4 linked regions of the Oryzias latipes genome follow. The protein of the gene in region 3 purifies or fractionates together with the protein of the main gene of each other region. This does not show direct contact. Links are inferred from orthologs where the notes say so. Each region holds a gene or a part of one and is shown on either strand. Other genes may lie near its edges.

Region 1 (4,260 bases), on a different chromosome or scaffold from region 3:
CGTCCTTCAGCCGGATGCTGCCGTTGGATGAGCCCGTTTACCCTGAGAGCAGGCAGGCCGAGGACACCCCCCCCCCCAGATCCTGAGCAAACAGCCTCTCCGGCTCATTCCAGTCTCCACAGGCTCCACCCATGCTGCCCGACCCAAACACGGAGGAGCCGGCTCATCAACCGTCCCGCCCCCACAGCAGAACTGCATGAAGACGCAATGAAACCTTCAAACCCGAGTCTGAATCCGACCTACGTCAGAGGGAAACTCAGAGAGAAGAGGTCCGACTTTAAGACACCCCCCGACCAGACTAAAACTGACCCGAACCGAGAGGAGAACCGGGCCGAACCACCCAAAAACCACAGCAGGCATCCACGGCATCCAAACCCGACAGCAGGTGGCGCCCTGGAGCAGCACCTGGACCCCAGGAAGAGGTCCCACAGGCCGAGGACCCTCCAGAGCAGGGGCCCCAAATCCAGGCCTGGAGGGCCGGTGTCCTACATGTTCTAACCAACCTGCCGCTCAAGCTCCTTATTGGCTAAACACACCTGACCAGGTGACCAGCAGGACACGTGCACGCACATCCGTGTACACGCACTACTGTCCTTAAGATATTCACGGTGTTGATCCCGCAGTCTGAAAAAAGAAGCACGTGGGCTGCTGTGGTCTTTGACTCGCTTCTAACCCGATCCACTCCAGGCTAACCCGATGACGCGGTTCAGCAGCTGGTCGGTGTCTTATGGAAGTGTCCTTGAGCAAGGCACGCCGCGCCGAACGCCGTCCCATAAGCTGAATGGGGCGCAGTGCACGGAGCTGGTTTAACGGAACCGGCGGATAGCACACCGGACGCGTGACCTTGCGCGTGGTGGTCATCATCGTTAGCCCAATCACTACCCCCCCCCCCCCCCCCCCGCGCGCTAACAGAGACAGACGTTAAATGCTGTAAACAACCAGAAATCCCATCATTTTCTCTCTCCTCACCATTTTTGAGCGCTTGCGCAGAGCTGCACGTCTTCACTGAGAGAGCTTCGGACCGTCTGCACTTTGTCTCCACGTGAGGGAAGCCTCCAGATCGCGCATGCGCAGTAACGAGGCGCTGACAGAAAGCTCCAGAACAGCGGGGCTGCAGGCAGACCCGTACCTACAGTTCCGGTCTATCTAGGCCGCATTTGTCATTGAAACGGTGATTTCGTTTCAAAGTCACTCTCTACGGGCTCGCGCAATGTTGCACAATGTGACCTTTGACCTCTTTTTTTTCCTCCAATGGGGTACGGAAAATTCTGGAATCGTAGCCCAGGAACCAGCATAAGTGTGCGTTGCTGCGTTTCTCTGTTAGTTGTAACAAAGTTCATGTGAGAATAAATGATCAGAACATTCTGCGCAGGTATGAATAAACGTCTCCATGAAGATTAAAGACGGGGATAACAACTTGAACGTAAAAGAGAAGTTTTATTGAAGTAGTTATGCGTCATACAGAGTTCTGGGCGGGGCCGTACATAACCCGGATGTGATTCCCCACGTGCGGTATTCTCCGTTAGATCACTCGTGCAGCGCGTGCGGCAGATCGCAGCGGTTCCCTGTCAGGTAAGAACCGACCGTCCGAACCCGCAGCAGGGATCCGTCTCTGCGCGCGCGGCACTTTGTCCTGTCGGTGCGTGGAGAACCGAACAGAACCGAGCTCGGGTTTGTCTGAACAGCCGGTTCTGGCGTATGCGGACCGGTTCGTCCTGATGATTCCGGGACCGCGGCAGGGACGTGTCAAATACTCAGTTACCCCCGTGTAATCCCGTTACTCTGGAGCGGCTGAGGGAATCCGTCCAGGGAGCCGGCACGAGCTCTAACGTTTGACCTTGTGACGTACGACCGGAGGAGCTCACGTGGGGAACCGGGGGCTGTGAGCAGACTGCGGGGCATGTGGGGCTTTAATAACCCCTCAGACTGGTTCTCACCAGGCGTTACCCGGTAGGACCAGGTTCTAGTGCCCCCAGGAGGGGTTAAGAATCCTTTATTCATGAAAAGCTTCATTTGAATGAAATAAGCTGCAATTATTATTCCGAAAACTGTAACAGCCGCTGTTGTTCTGGAAACTAAAGTTTATCTTTTGGTATTTCGGTCATTTTAAAAGGCGTGTTTGAGGAAATGGTAGCAGATCTGTCACCGTAGGAATGAATGAGAGGCAGCTTGGAGGGTCCCATCAGTTATACTCCACCAATCAGAAGTTCGGGCCCGAGGCCGTGTCCTTGACTCCGCCCCCTTACCTCCTCCCGTCTGGACGCATGGAAGCTGCGGGAATGTCGGGCTGGGTTCTGGATGCTCCATTGGAGCTGATGATGGTGGAGCGTTTCTGGCTTTAACCTGACCGTCTACAGCATGTGTCAACCTCAAGGCCCGGGGGCCAAATGTGGCCCTCCGTGTCATTTTATGTGGCCCACGAGAACATAAAGGTGTTTAATTTCTTGGAATAAAAAATAAACATTGGTGTGTATTTATTCATATCTGGGGGGAATTGGATTTAAATGTTGGATTGGTCATCTATACATCAGGACTTAAACACTGTCCACATAACCTAACCTGACAGAATCAAATGTAAAAGGATTTGTGTTAGAATAACAAGCAAACATATGTTTTCTATGCAGCTGGAATTGTCAATTTAAAAAGTTATAATAAATAAATAATGAGTTATTTATCATTAAGGAGTAGTTGCATTTATTTTCATTACATTTAGTTACATGTATAAGTTACATCTGGCCCTTTGAGGACAGACACTATGCTGATGTGGCCCTCAGTGAAAATGAGTGTGACCCGCTTGTTACAGTTTGAAATGCTGCTGAACCAAGATCAGGCCGACTGAGGAGAAACAAGTCAAAGTCAGCTTTGTTGTCAAATATGCTGCAGACACAAGACAGACATGCAGCACAGATGAAGTTACTTTCCTCTCCCCCCACAATTTAAGCAGGATGTTCTGAACTTGGTCACAAATTCCCAGTTTCAGATGATGTTTCTGGTAAAAATTAACTGCTTGCTTGTGCTCAGTCTGCATCTTAAGGATGCTTAGATGCTGCGTGTCACGTGGGTTTGCTTAAGTTCCCGCTCACTGTAATTCCACTGGTGACCACCGGGCGGTACTGCTGGTCCTGTAGGATCCTCAATGGCTTCACTGCTTTTCTCCACAGAGATGTTTCGTTTAGCGACAGTCATGAGGCAGGTGAGGCCCGTGAGCCGGGCGCTGGCCCCTCATCTCACACGGGCCTACGCCAAGGACGTGAAGTTCGGGGCGGACGCTCGGGCGCTCATGCTGCAGGGGGTGGACCTGTTGGCGGATGCTGTGGCCGTCACCATGGGCCCAAAGGTAACAAACCCGCTGACGGGTGGATTAGGTTTGGAAACAGAACAGGAAAGGTGTGAAAGTGCTCCAGTCGAATGTTTTAAGCATCGTCTTCCCGGTCCAGGGACGCACTGTCATCATCGAGCAGAGCTGGGGCAGCCCCAAGGTCACCAAGGACGGCGTGACGGTGGCCAAGAGCATCGATCTGAAGGACAAGTACAAGAACATCGGTGCCAGGCTGGTGCAGGATGTGGCAAACAACACCAACGAGGAGGCTGGCGATGGCACCACCACCGCCACGGTGCTGGCCAGAGCCATCGCCAAGGAGGGCTTCGACAACATCAGCAAAGGTGCAAACCCTGTGGAGATCCGCCGCGGCGTCATGATGGCGGTGGAGGCGGTCATCGGCGAGCTGCAGAGACTCTCCAAGCCCGTCACCACCCCAGAGGAGATCGCACAGGTCTGGGAAGGGCATCCGGTTGTCCTGACGCCGTCTCCACACGGTCACCCTCACTCATCACGCGTGTCGTTTCAGGTCGCAACCATCTCAGCCAATGGAGACACGGAGATCGGAAACATCATCTCCAACGCAATGAAGAAAGTGGGCCGCAAAGGAGTCATCACCGTGAAGGTGAGGGGGAGGGGCTGCGAGGAGTCCACCCACCGGAGTGGAGAACATCCTCCGGTTCTGGATGACCGTTATGTGGCAAATGATGGCAGCACGTTCTGCGTCCATACATGGGGGGTTGGACCAAAGCCTCTGAGAGGACTTCCTGTGTCCTCATTGTCCAACCTTTGACGGCGTCTAGAAGCTTTCTGGTTAACATTCATTCCTTCTGCCGCAGGACGGGAAAACGCTGCAGGACGAGCTGGAGATCATCGAGGGCATGAAGTTTGACCGCGGTTACATCTCTCCCTACTTCATCAACACCGCCAAAGGTAAGGCT
Region 2 (4,068 bases), on a different chromosome or scaffold from region 3:
AATGATTCTCTCCTGCACACACATGCTGGGCCCCGCTGCCTGCTTTGAATGAGTCAAGTTTTTGGGGGGTAAACTTCCCTCCTCCCCAATAGTACACCTCCCTTGAACGTGTCACCACGGCAATGGAACTCTCCGACACTGGATTTAATCTATACCATAAAAGTCAGTTGGTTACATATTACCTGTATATAACATTCATTTAAAAAAAAATTACTAACTTTGGTCTCTTCATTGATGAATTCAGCAAGACAACTTGCTCCTCAAGCTCCCTGAAAGAAAATGAAGCAAATGCGACAAATAAAAAAAGGGATGTTTTCCTACGACAGAGTTTTAGGGCCACCAAAAAAAAAAAAATTACAATTTTGAAACCTATCTGGAAATAAAGCTTCTCTAAAGGCTCCACATCTTTCATCTTCAAGCTAGGCTCCGATAAACAGACAACTTTGGTGTTTTTTCTCGTCAATTTGTGACTTTTTCTTGCAAATTTACGAGATTTTAAGTCGTAAATAAACGACTTTAAATTCAAAACAAAAAAAAATTAAAAAACTTGTTTGTAAACTGGCCCTAAAACTCCGTCGTCGTTTCCAAAAGTATAAAAATAGAAATACTCTCACTGTCTGCAGCAGGAGATGGAAGGCTGGTCCAGAATGTGCTCAGCTGTTGGCCTTTTTGCAGGATCCTGTAAGTAAAAAGAAGTGAACTGCCGCTCAGAGGTAAACGCTGTTTTCCCTGCAGAACTGATCCTCGCTCTTACCTGATGCAGACACTCGTACACCAGCTTCAACAGTCCGGACGAATAAATGTCAGAGACCCCTTCCATAGTCCAGTTGCCTTGGACTATTTTAACACAGAGGTTTAACGGGTTCTGTGCAAACACAGGAGTTGCAGAAATGCATTTAAGTAAGCAAGAAAAAGAGGATGGAACAGTTTATGAAAATCCAGTCAAACTCACTGTTGCATCAAATGTTCTTTTTAGAGTTAAGACTTCATAAAGGACACAACCCATAGCCCAAATGTCGGATTTGAAGTTGTACTTTGCTCCCTGGCACAATTCAGGTGACATGTAATATGGAGTTCCTACACACTGGAAACACAAAAGAAGACAAAAATTGATACAAGAATTACTACCAAGGAATTCTTTTAACGTTATGTAGGGCGTTTAAATCCAATGTTTACTCATCCACATCCTTACTGTCTCTGCCATTGAAAACTCAGAGTCCAGCTTCTTTGCAAGGCCATAATCCCCCAGCTTGATGAGGTCTGTCTTGGTCAGGAAAATGTTCAAAGTTTTGATATCTCTGCAAACGGCGGGAAAAAAGTAAACATATTTAAAACACAATTGTTTGAAAACACAAACTTGGGTTCCTTGCATGAACGTTACCTGTGTAAGATCCCAGCTTTGTGAATGTAGGCCACTGCTGAAGCAATTTGATAGAGGTACCATACCACTACCTAGGATTAAAAGGCACAAACGATCGTAGAAAAGTAAAACAAAAGAAATTTAGATCAATCAAAAGCCTACACCGCGCTCATACCTTCTCGGAAAAGGGAACTCCTTTCTGCTGGACGATTTTATCGTACAAATTTCCTCCTGTCAGGACAAAAGCATTCCCTGTAGCAAATCCTTGAAAGGAAACAAGAAGGTGGACGATCAGACGTACCGTTGCAATACTCCAACTCAATGAGCAGAGAGTTTTTGTCCATAAAGTGGTTGAAGTAAGCTATGATGTTGTTGTGCTCCAACACGGAGAGGATGTTGATTTCATTCATGACATCTCGACGTTCCTTCTCTGAGAGCGAGTTCAAGTCCACCTCTTTCCACACCACCAAGGAATTATCCTAAGACAAAAGACAACGGAAAATTAGAGACTATTCTATCACAGGGTTCGTGAATAATTTTGAATCAAGAATCTAAATAACAGGTTGTGTACACATAATAACCAGTCAAAACAAACACTAATGCTCAATATCACACTATATTTGCAGGATTATGCTTATCAAAATACAATACTAAAACCACATAAATAGGACACTATTAAATAATAAGTTATTTTTAAAATTAACTATTAGATAATCTATAAAAAGAAAATAATCAATTTTAATTTAAATTCACCAAAGAAAATGTTAATGATAAATTAATTTACAATGATAGGGTCAAAAATCTTGCTTTTTCACAGCGGTGGAAAAAAGGAAATATTTACATTTTATTTTATCCCAACAAAAAAAAAACAACAAAAAGGACCAATTAAAGAAAATGTATTACAATTCAACTAACTTTCATTTACTTTTATTTTAAAAATATTCTAATAAAATAGCAGTAGCACCTAGCTTACCTCAGTTCTTCTGTACAGAGTCGCTTCCCCAAACGCCCCCCTCCCCAGGATCCGGATAGGAATGTAGTGTAACTTCTCCTCTTCGCCATAAAACGTCCCAGAAGATGACCGCTCACTGCCCACAGACTCGCCGCCTAAATCCGAATTTAGCGACTCGAAATGCCGCTCATATTCCTGCACTGACATTTTCTGATGAGGGGGTTTGCTGTTAGCCAAGAGCAGGGATGAAAATACCTCGAAAGGCCTACAACAACACTTTCAGAGTCGCTCCTATAATAAGCTCGTGCACACGTACGACATGTTTACACAGTCGGCTAACAGAAGACCTGTCAAAGTACGAGTAAACAGGATTACTCAAAGGCACTTGAGGTATATAAAGTTACACAAACATAACGTTTAAAGAAATGCGTGCAACTAAAGGAGACAGACAAATGTCAAGTAAATTATAAAAGGAAAACGACTCTTCGGCAATTTATTTCTGAATTTTCAACATAAAAGACTGCCTTAATGTATTTGTCGGAGGGTGTTCTACGGCGAAAGGGTGCGAAATGTATTTCCGGAACGTCACTACGTTGCGACCGATAACTTGATGGAAACTAAAGGCAAACTACGTCTGGTATTAACATTCTGAAGTTAGACATACCCTACAATGTACACAAAAGTGCAACATTTGTATAAATCAAACGTAAAAGGAGGGGAAAATAATGAAATAAGTCAATTTTTTGAAAGCGGTAGTTTGTTGTTCTCGATGCATGAACCCGGAAATGATCGTCTGTCGCTGTCTTGTAGTCAATACGGAATAACTGAACAGTATCAGTTGGCAGAAAATCTATATTGAAACAGGACTGGATTGACAGGTTTGCTTTTTTTGTAAAAGATTTAACTGACTGAAAGAAATATTTTGACTTGTTTACATCTTTTACGGATAAATACTATCTCACCTGCTCCCCTAAAGAAAAAAAAACTCAAACATTTTTTTTGAACAACTATAAAATATGAAGGAAAGAATATATCATGTCCACAATCGAGCTTGCTTTAGATCACTTCCTAATTTAAACTGTCAACCTGCATTAGTTAAAGCACATTCAAAATACGTTAGATGGCCTGTACTGCTCCAAATAAAAGAAACTCCTTTTAAAGTAATAATAAAATTCCACCCTGTCTCTGAATTTCTTAAAGCAGATTTAAATTGGATGTGGAACCTTGCACTTTTTTGTAATGAAACTTTGGAACATTTCTTCATTCTGCATTTTTTCATGCAAGGATTTCTGGACTTATATGGAATTGGATTAATCTAAAACTAAACATTCCCCCTTTTTGGATTGCTGATGTAATATTGTTCATGGAAAATTTAGATAATTCTAACATATTGCTAATGTAATTTTACTTATACTATATCCACTGTTGCAGGGATTGTGATAATTGAAAATATTACAATCCTGAGAATCTGCTAAATAAATCTCTGAACAAATTTCCTTGCTGTTATTCTATTTAGTTTCCTGTGCCATTAGGCTCCCGTTTTGTTTTATTTAATTATCTGTTTTATCTTATTGTATTTATGTTGTTCTCTTATTTTCCTTCTGAAAGCAATCAGTAACAGAATGTGTTGATCAGTTCAGACTGTATCATTGTCTGTACTTGTGTCCTAGTATGTTGATCCTCTGCTGGAGTTTGTATCTTGTCATTGTTATGTTCAATTATTACACAAATAATTGTTTTCAAAATTTAGTCTATT
Region 3 (3,500 bases):
AGGTGGGTTAAAATAATTAACGCTTTAACATGCCCGTCATCCTGGTTTGTATACAATATGTGTATAAATGAAGGTATGTTTTTACAATTCTATGTGGAAGGGAAATGAACAGGATTTCTTAATTTTTGGGGGTATTAGGAAGGCGAAGTGTGTTTACTCAAGTCTCCTCCCCCAATTTTTTTGGGACTTGTGAATTTATACATTTATACATATTGCTTGCTTACACAAGTTTCCTTATATTCTAGCATATGTTATACTTTGCAAAAGTTCTTGTTTTCTTTTATTTTTATCACTTGTTCATAATACATGTATGAATGCAATAAGTGCAGCTCCAGATGTTTTGGATCCAGATTGATTTGAACTCTGTCTTCATAGGAAAAACCTCCAGGGATCCATAATGTATTTTTTTTTTTTGTGGGTAAATTAGTCTATTTTTTTAATGCTGTAAGTCGGCAGCAGTCCCAAGTTCCTGGGTTTGTGTGGGTGCGTCACAAACTACTGCTGCAAGGTTTGGTATTACGGCCAGAACCGTGAACCGATTCACAACGTCATGATTTGATAAAATATCAGCCCTTTTAGAAATATCCGTTTTGAGAGCTAATTGAAATTGTAAATGGCGTATACTTGTATAGAGCTTTACTAGCTTCCTAGAAGGCCCGAAGTCCTTCAGTCTCATTCACTTAAGCACACAGACATTCATACGCTACCAAACACTGGTACCAACCTACAACCGCCAGGAGGAATGTAAGGCTCAGTGTCTTGCCAAGGATACTTTGACACACAGGCGGACAGGGCGAGTATTGAACCTGCGATCTCTGTGCTGTTGGGACCTCTTAAGGCGGAAGCAGCTCTAAGTCGGACATGACTTCCCATCAGTCTGTTATTGGTTTAATAAGGATATTTAGAGACGGAGTGAGGTTTGTTTCTTTCCAGGATTACTAGACCGAGCAAAAGCTAAAATGTTTTACCAGATTGTTTCAGTTACTCCTCAGATCAGTTCTGCAGTAGAAAAATTAGGACATATTTGAGTACATCCAGACTTTGTGTTTGCTGAAGCTGACATTCTTCACGAACACTGGGATTTCTCATTCTTCAAAATGAAGAAGTCATCATTTAGACTCCGGGTGGAGTGTAGACTGCATCATATCTACAGAATCCTCTCTTTTTGGCCCAAATACTTTCAGCTCCAGTTTCCATCATATAAACACTGAGCAACCTTTTCTCTTTTTAGCCTAGACTCTGGATGGCGGCGGACAGCAAGCAGCACGAGTGAACAGCCAATCAGCTGAGGCTACCTGAAGCAACATGGCGTCTCGTCATAGGAACTCTGTGCGGATCCTGTACAGCCGAGAGCGGGGGTCCCAGACGGTGGGATCGCAGAGGCTGCTGCAGCTGCTGGTGGAGGAGAAGGTCCGCTGGATGAAATGGCAGAGTCAGGTGGGTTCGGGCTCATATTTAGGAACAAGTTAGTGTAGCTCATGACACAAGTTTCTATTGTTTTTCTGTCTTTTTTTATTTAAAAAAATGTTTTGCTTTTTGAGTATTTTTTTAGACGGCTGCCATAAAATATTACAGTTTAAACTCTTTAGGTCTAATGCGGCGTTCATACCGAACGTCATCAGCGCATCAAATTTCCGTCATCTACCTCTGTTTAGACATGCATCAAAGTGGCTGCTAGACCCTTATCCAAAAATGTGTGCATAAACCTGACGCTCCTGCATGTGTGGGAGAAGCTACTTTTAAAAGTTTATTTCTTCACCTGTGCATAATGAAAGACAGAAGAAAAAAGAGTTGTTAAACACGTCTCCATGAGATCTTTCAGAGACTCTCCCCATACGGTGAAGTTCACCATCTACTGCAGGATCTGCGTCTGAATGACGGCCGCTTTCAGCGCTACTTCTGCCTCTCTGTGACCCAGAATAATGAGTTGCAGTCCTGCATTCGTCAGAGGAAGGAAAAATTAAATTAAGTATAAAATTAGAGGATCTTTTTAAAATATTGTCTCCATATAAATAAGAAAACAGTAAAGTTCAGCAGGAGCACAAACAGCAACATTCTCCTCTATGTTGGTTTTGGACTCCACCCGCTGATCACATCATCAACACGTCATGGGCCAAAGCTGAGTTCCTGATTGATTGACACGATGCAAATTCTTTGCTAAAGTTCAGATATTTTATCTCTGGAAACATTCCCCCCCATGACATGCCCAAAATGCACTGCTTCTAGACCACCGCGTCCTGCCTGATGGCCAAAATATGCAGAATCTCATCGTGTCTGGACATTGACTTAACATTGAAACTGGACGCCTCTGCCAGGCGAGCTGCATTTGTTGTGAACACAGCAGCAAAGCTTCAGCCTCCACAGTGGTAGAAGAGGGTGGGGCACCTCCTGGTGGCCGAGTTCTGCTGCATCGCGATGCTCCAAACATTTTGCTTTTTAACAAGTTTGACATGTATTAACAAAAGAAAATTCAAAGTATAGATAAACAAAGATTAAAATGTAATTTGTGTTTGAAGTTGATTTGTTTTTTCTTTTCTTTTTTTTTAAACTTTTGAGTCAGAAAAAAATGTGAGTTTCTTAGTTTTCTCTGAAGCAAACTTAGATGTCTGTGTGGAAGAGTCTTTATTTATGGTCATAAAGAATGGGTTTTGATGCTTGAACCTGACTGACTGTTACCTGCTGTTCTCTGCTCTAACAGAAGGTGGAGCTGCCTGACAGCCCTCGTTCAACCTTCCTGCTGGCCTTCAGCCCCGACAGGTGAGACTCACTAGTGACACGAGGCTTAAACCTCCTGTGTAAATGATGAGAAAAGAGACGAGTTCCCTCCACCTGCGGATTTTCTTTGACGAGCAGCAAGACTCTTCCTTTGGCCGTCTTTCTCCGAGTTTCCATCTTTGCTGACTGAAGAGCTCCCATGTTCCCCCTGCAGGACTCTGATGGCGTCCACCCACGTCAACCACAACATCTACATCACTGAGGTGAAGACCGGGAAGTGCCTCCACTCTTTGGTGGGCCACAGAAGAACGCCCTGGTGCGTGACCTTCCACCCCACTATTCCCGGGCTGGTGGCCTCTGGGTGCCTTGATGGTGAAGTTCGAATCTGGGACCTGCATGTGAGTATCCGGGTCCAAAGTTCTGGATGTTTGTTAACAGGCTGTGACTGCTGCCATGGCAAAGGACTACGTTTCATTTCAAACCAAGAGGTTTTTTTTAAATCTCTTGGAAGTCAGAAAAGATTTCTGGATTTGTTATGTTGAAGCTTTTTTTGTGTAAAAATTAAATTGTTAAAGCATGTGTGCATGTAAAAAATTTTTCTATTGAAATCGAAAAACCCCTGGTGCATTCATTGGCGCTTTGAAAAGAAAAAAGAAAAATCAAGTTGCTGTCTGCATTAAATCCCTACTTTTCATGAAAACTGAAGAAAACACAACAAAACAAATTAAGTTGTGTAGTTTTAGTGCTCCTGTGCTGTGTTTGACCGCTCCTCCTCCTGCAGGGTG
Region 4 (4,162 bases), on a different chromosome or scaffold from region 3:
TGCTTTTGGATGCTCTGCAGAAATCCTGTGCAGGAAGCGCGTTGCTGCCCTCTGGTGGTGAATCTCAAATACCGACACACACAGGACAAAATAACTGATTTAAAAAACCAGCAGTGTCACTCAAGTCCTGCTCTTCTTTATTTATTATATGTAAGGTTTTCACAATATTGTTATTCACTGATAAAATGAGTTAAAGTGCTTTTTAAAGTGAGCGGCCCAGAGGAACGTCAAATCGGTGTTTTGTTTGCTTTAACACAAGCATCAGTTTTCCTGATGCTGGTTTTTAGGAGCGACTGCTGTCAGTCCAGCCATGTTGGACCCCGTTGTGTGGGGGAGGACGTTTTAACCGAGGAAGGACGTGTCACGTGTCCTGCAGCTCCCACCGATGCCGAGATGTTCCTGAATGCATGTCGGGAAACGAGGAACCTGAAAACCTCGTCTGGACAGGATGGCACACTTGTAAAAAATGTTGGTTTCAACCTGGCTGAAGTTGAGGTTCTGCTGGGTCCAGAACTTGTGGTTCCAGTCCTCCGTCTCCTGCCTCAGGTTTCTCAGCCTCTTTTCCAGCTCCGACTCCTCCTCAGGGATGCGGTAGATGATCGGCCGCAGGTTGGACAGCGGGTTCGGGGGGCCGATCCAGTCATGTGTAGAGCTGGGCTCCGGTCTCAAAGGTGTCCGCTGAAAAATGGAAATATGAACAATAATTAAACGTATTTACTAAGAACAGATGGACTGCAAACCGCAGTCCCATGCCCACATCCTAATGTTTGCAGCATTTGTCCAAAGATGGACTTTACAAGTGACCAAAAAAATGTAAAAAAAAAAAAGAAAATAAAACACCAGAAAAAGGTGTTCGTTTAACCCTGGAGAACCCAGCAACCATTTTTTTTTCAGGGCTTTTAAAGGTAATTAAGCAAATTTGATTTTGTTTCTTCATTTTGGAAAGCAGCAATTAACAGCAACCAAAAAAAACTTCAAATGAAAACCTAAAAATAAAGGAAAAACTAGAGAGAAAAAGAAATAAATAAAAACCATAGAGCTAAAGTTGATCCTGTGGATTCCCCCAGAGTTAAAAACACAGAGACAAGTCAAAAAGATAACTAACAATGAATTAATTTGTCCCACCAGATCGATCTGTCTGAGCCAAGAGGGTAATCAATTCCAATTGACCTCTACCATTAAAAAAATCGTTAAAATCGATTATATTGATCTTGGAAAATACCATTTAGATTGAGGTACAGTAGGTTTATTTGACTATAAGGTCAAACCGCCCAATCACAGCAACACACATGTGATGTCATTAACACGGATCAGTCCATCATTCCAGTCCAATGTGTGGACAGACTTTGAATAAAGTCATGCGACCATCCAGTGTCTAGAATGTTCTAAGAATGTTCCCTTTGGATTCTTTGGATGTGGAAAAACAACAGTGGAGAACTTTAGGAGAAGATCAACCAACAACTGTTTGCTTTTTTCAGGAAACTCTTTTTCAAAGAGGGCCAACTATTCAATGCATTAAAAGCAAATAAACTATGAACATTATTATGGCAATTGGACTCTTCCTATTTCTTCACATAAAAGAGAATTCTATCTAAATACATTTGTACATGAATTTCTGATTAGAAGGCCAGACTTAAAATCCAGAATAGGTCTGCAGCTTTGATGGCCCTTTGGAGCCAGCGCAGTCTGAGGGTTTTTGATGGGACGGCCCCCCAGGCATGATGCAGAGGGAACCAGAGGACTCCAGAAAACCCATTTTAACCGGGCCAAAGCATGTGAACGCATCTAAGAATAACCAACAGAATCCATCAGACTCTGGCGCTTCAGGTTCCTACGGTTTGGGGCTGAGGTGGGTCAGCAGGAGGCCCTGCAGGAGGGCAGCAGGAGGGATGCAGGAGGCCCTGCAGGAGGGATGCAGGAGGCCCTGCAGTCTAACTGGAGGCATCTGCTTATCAGTGCAGAGCAGACGGCAGCAGGAGAAGAGCACGGAGGAGAGCAGGCATGAGGAGAGCAGGGAGGAGGAAGACTCCATCCAGGACCCAGAGGCCTGAAAAAAGGTGCGTTATGACATCACTACCTTCAGCTGCAGAAGTCTTTGGACTTTCTTCATCATTACGGTTACATTTACTACAGTGAATCAGAAACATTAGCCCAAACAAACCCACTGACAGCTGTTACAGATGGGTTCTACTGGTGTCTTTTGATTCTCGCAGCCTTTCTGTGAGGATCTAGAGCCGTTAAATGAAACTTCAGAACCAGATGACGTGAAAATCTCTCATGGTTGCTGATGAAAAGCCTGTCCGTTAGGCCTAAGCAGCACTAAACATAGAAGGAGTTGGTTAAAGCCATGTTTAGTTCAGCCAGTCAGTAACCTGCAGGTCAATTAGACTTTTTGGCTGTGCAGACCTAGTGCGCATGCGTCGTTATCTTGGTTTTCACAGCAGGATCAGAACCTCAGCGTTTCTGATTCCTCCGGTAATGTGAGCACGGAGCCTGGGATAAAAACACCAACGCGGAACGGACTGCGGCGGCGCGCGCACCTTGGCGGCTTTATCCTGTTGGCTCGTTGGATTATTAGAGCCGTTGCGCCGGATGTTTACATCCAGCAGTTGCACGCGGGAGTTCCGCGCGCTCCTCCACGACAAGCGTCCAGCTGCCCCGAATGTCATTCCCGCAAAATCAAGGCACTGTCACGCAGAAAAGCTAAACACGCAACGGTGGCGAACAACCCATGTCTCCCAACTGTATGTCCTTCCGCGAGGATGTAGGACAGGTGGTCACGTGAGCTGCAAAAAACGGCTAGAGACGCTCGGAAACAGCACCTTCGCAAGCCGTTAGTCAAGTCTCTGCCCGACGGGTTCGGAGCAGATGAGGTTTCAAACTAAACTCTAAATAAAACATATTTCTAGAAAGATACTGTCAAAACTTTTCATCGCAAAAGCTTCAAGTACCAAAGCTACAAACTACGTTTTGAGTACGTTATTTAAAAACACTGCTATATTTATGTTTTATCAGAAGCGATAACGAAATAAAACATAAACAAAACGGGTCGAGTTTGTCTCCGCACAGAGTTGGTGATTAAATGGAGCGCACTCGCTGTTGGCCGACAACAACCTTCCCTGCGTCTGAACTGATAAAAGCTTCATTATTAAACGAGATAATGACCAACAAGATTAACCAAAGTGTTAGGAATGTGTACAGATATAGTTGTAGCTGTTGGTTACACTCAGAGATTGAAATATTGATTAAAATACGAAGTGGGAGGGTAGATTCAGCGAAACAATCGAACTCCGTGAAACTATAGTGGCGAGGCTGAGACGGGAAAGTAAGTCCGTGAAGGTGCAGCTAGGCGGGCTAATGTTGATCTTCAACAGAAGGTTTGGGGCTTTTCCTTCGCAGCGGGGTACATGGCTGTTCGCTGGTTATGCAGGTAAGACTGGGGCGGTTCAACGGCGGGTAGATGCCGGCGTAAAGCCGCAGTTTATGCGGTCAAGGTGGGGCAGAGTCAGTCAGGTGATCACCGACAGCTCACAACGGTGTTAACGGGCTGGAAAAAGACCCGGTGGTGGGATTTCATCTTTCGAAGTCAAATATCTGCGCGTGTAGGTCAAGTGTTTGGGGTTTTTTTTATTTTAAAAGAAGGGGGGGGGGGGGGGGGACAAAACCATGTTTGCAGACGTAGTGGCTTAGAGGTGGGAGGGGCGACAGCCGCCGGACTGCAGGCGGGCGGGCAGAGTCTGTCTGCTGGTCGCCGGAGCATCGCGACACCTCCGCGGGCTCCTGTCTGCGCACGCGGCTGCTCCCCAGCTTCGCCGGCCGCCTGCTTTCTGCTGATGGAAACAGACATCTCTCAGAATGTGCGCGAACGTGTTCGGAGTCCTGAAGAGGTGAGGCGGCGTCAGGGCGGGGCGGGGGGGCTGGTTCGGCTTCACGCTCGTCCGCCCGCAGAGCCAGCGGCCACGCAGGGTTTCCCGCGGGGGACTAGCGTTGGCGGGGCGGCTGTTGAACCGCGTCCGGTTCGGGTTCCGAACGGCCGCGTGCGCCTCAGAGGCCCTCTCTGGCTGCTGTAACCAAACGGAGGCGCGCGCTGATTGGCCGTCCGCGCGGGGACTGGACTCCGATTATCCTAATAAATGCTGAGATTTGGCAGCTTTCCCCTCTG

What was found. The genes of interacting proteins can lie anywhere in the genome.
Region 1: the proteins of ambra1 (region 3) and hspd1 purify together in Homo sapiens (affinity purification with mass spectrometry, with the first as the bait; 3 studies listed by BioGRID). This does not show direct contact. The link is inferred for Oryzias latipes from reciprocal best matches to the Homo sapiens genes AMBRA1 and HSPD1.
Region 2: the proteins of ambra1 (region 3) and nek9 purify together in Homo sapiens (affinity purification with mass spectrometry; 3 studies listed by BioGRID and IntAct, with this or other methods). This does not show direct contact. The link is inferred for Oryzias latipes from reciprocal best matches to the Homo sapiens genes AMBRA1 and NEK9.
Region 4: the proteins of ambra1 (region 3) and bag5 purify together in Homo sapiens (affinity purification with mass spectrometry, with the first as the bait; 3 studies listed by BioGRID). This does not show direct contact. The link is inferred for Oryzias latipes from reciprocal best matches to the Homo sapiens genes AMBRA1 and BAG5.

The regions. Positions count from the first base shown.
Region 1 is NC_019879.2:154,290-158,549, forward strand, and holds the start of hspd1 (60 kDa heat shock protein, mitochondrial), read left to right. Parts: upstream 1-1,460; 5' UTR 1,461-1,572; intron 1,573-3,161; 5' UTR 3,162-3,163; coding exon 3,164-3,337; intron 3,338-3,437; coding exon 3,438-3,773; intron 3,774-3,848; coding exon 3,849-3,944; intron 3,945-4,158; coding exon 4,159-4,252; intron 4,253-4,260. UniProt on the Homo sapiens protein: Chaperonin implicated in mitochondrial protein import and macromolecular assembly. Together with Hsp10, facilitates the correct folding of imported proteins.
Region 2 is NC_019880.2:13,219,229-13,223,296, reverse strand, and holds the start of nek9 (serine/threonine-protein kinase Nek9), read right to left. Parts: upstream 2,801-4,068; 5' UTR 2,520-2,800; coding exon 2,334-2,519; intron 1,840-2,333; coding exon 1,662-1,839; intron 1,592-1,661; coding exon 1,536-1,591; intron 1,453-1,535; coding exon 1,382-1,452; intron 1,299-1,381; coding exon 1,193-1,298; intron 1,085-1,192; coding exon 953-1,084; intron 866-952; coding exon 755-865; intron 680-754; coding exon 615-679; intron 270-614; coding exon 219-269; intron 150-218; coding exon 1-149.
Region 3 is NC_019864.2:26,780,463-26,783,962, forward strand, and holds part of ambra1 (activating molecule in BECN1-regulated autophagy protein 1), read left to right. Parts: intron 1-1,231; 5' UTR 1,232-1,305; coding exon 1,306-1,437; intron 1,438-2,698; coding exon 2,699-2,757; intron 2,758-2,929; coding exon 2,930-3,113; intron 3,114-3,496; coding exon 3,497-3,500. UniProt on the Homo sapiens protein: Substrate-recognition component of a DCX (DDB1-CUL4-X-box) E3 ubiquitin-protein ligase complex involved in cell cycle control and autophagy.
Region 4 is NC_019880.2:21,267,805-21,271,966, forward strand, and holds the start of bag5 (BAG family molecular chaperone regulator 5), read left to right. Parts: upstream 1-1,362; 5' UTR 1,363-2,001; coding exon 2,002-2,057; intron 2,058-2,540; coding exon of another isoform or gene 2,541-2,669; exon of another isoform or gene 2,670-2,788; intron 2,789-2,923; exon of another isoform or gene 2,924-3,407; coding exon of another isoform or gene 3,408-3,430; intron 3,431-3,688; exon of another isoform or gene 3,689-3,855; coding exon of another isoform or gene 3,856-3,887; intron 3,888-4,162. Other genes in the region: apopt1 (apoptogenic protein 1, mitochondrial), read right to left, coding at 481-678, 2,541-2,669. UniProt on the Homo sapiens protein: Co-chaperone for HSP/HSP70 proteins. It functions as a nucleotide-exchange factor promoting the release of ADP from HSP70, thereby activating HSP70-mediated protein refolding.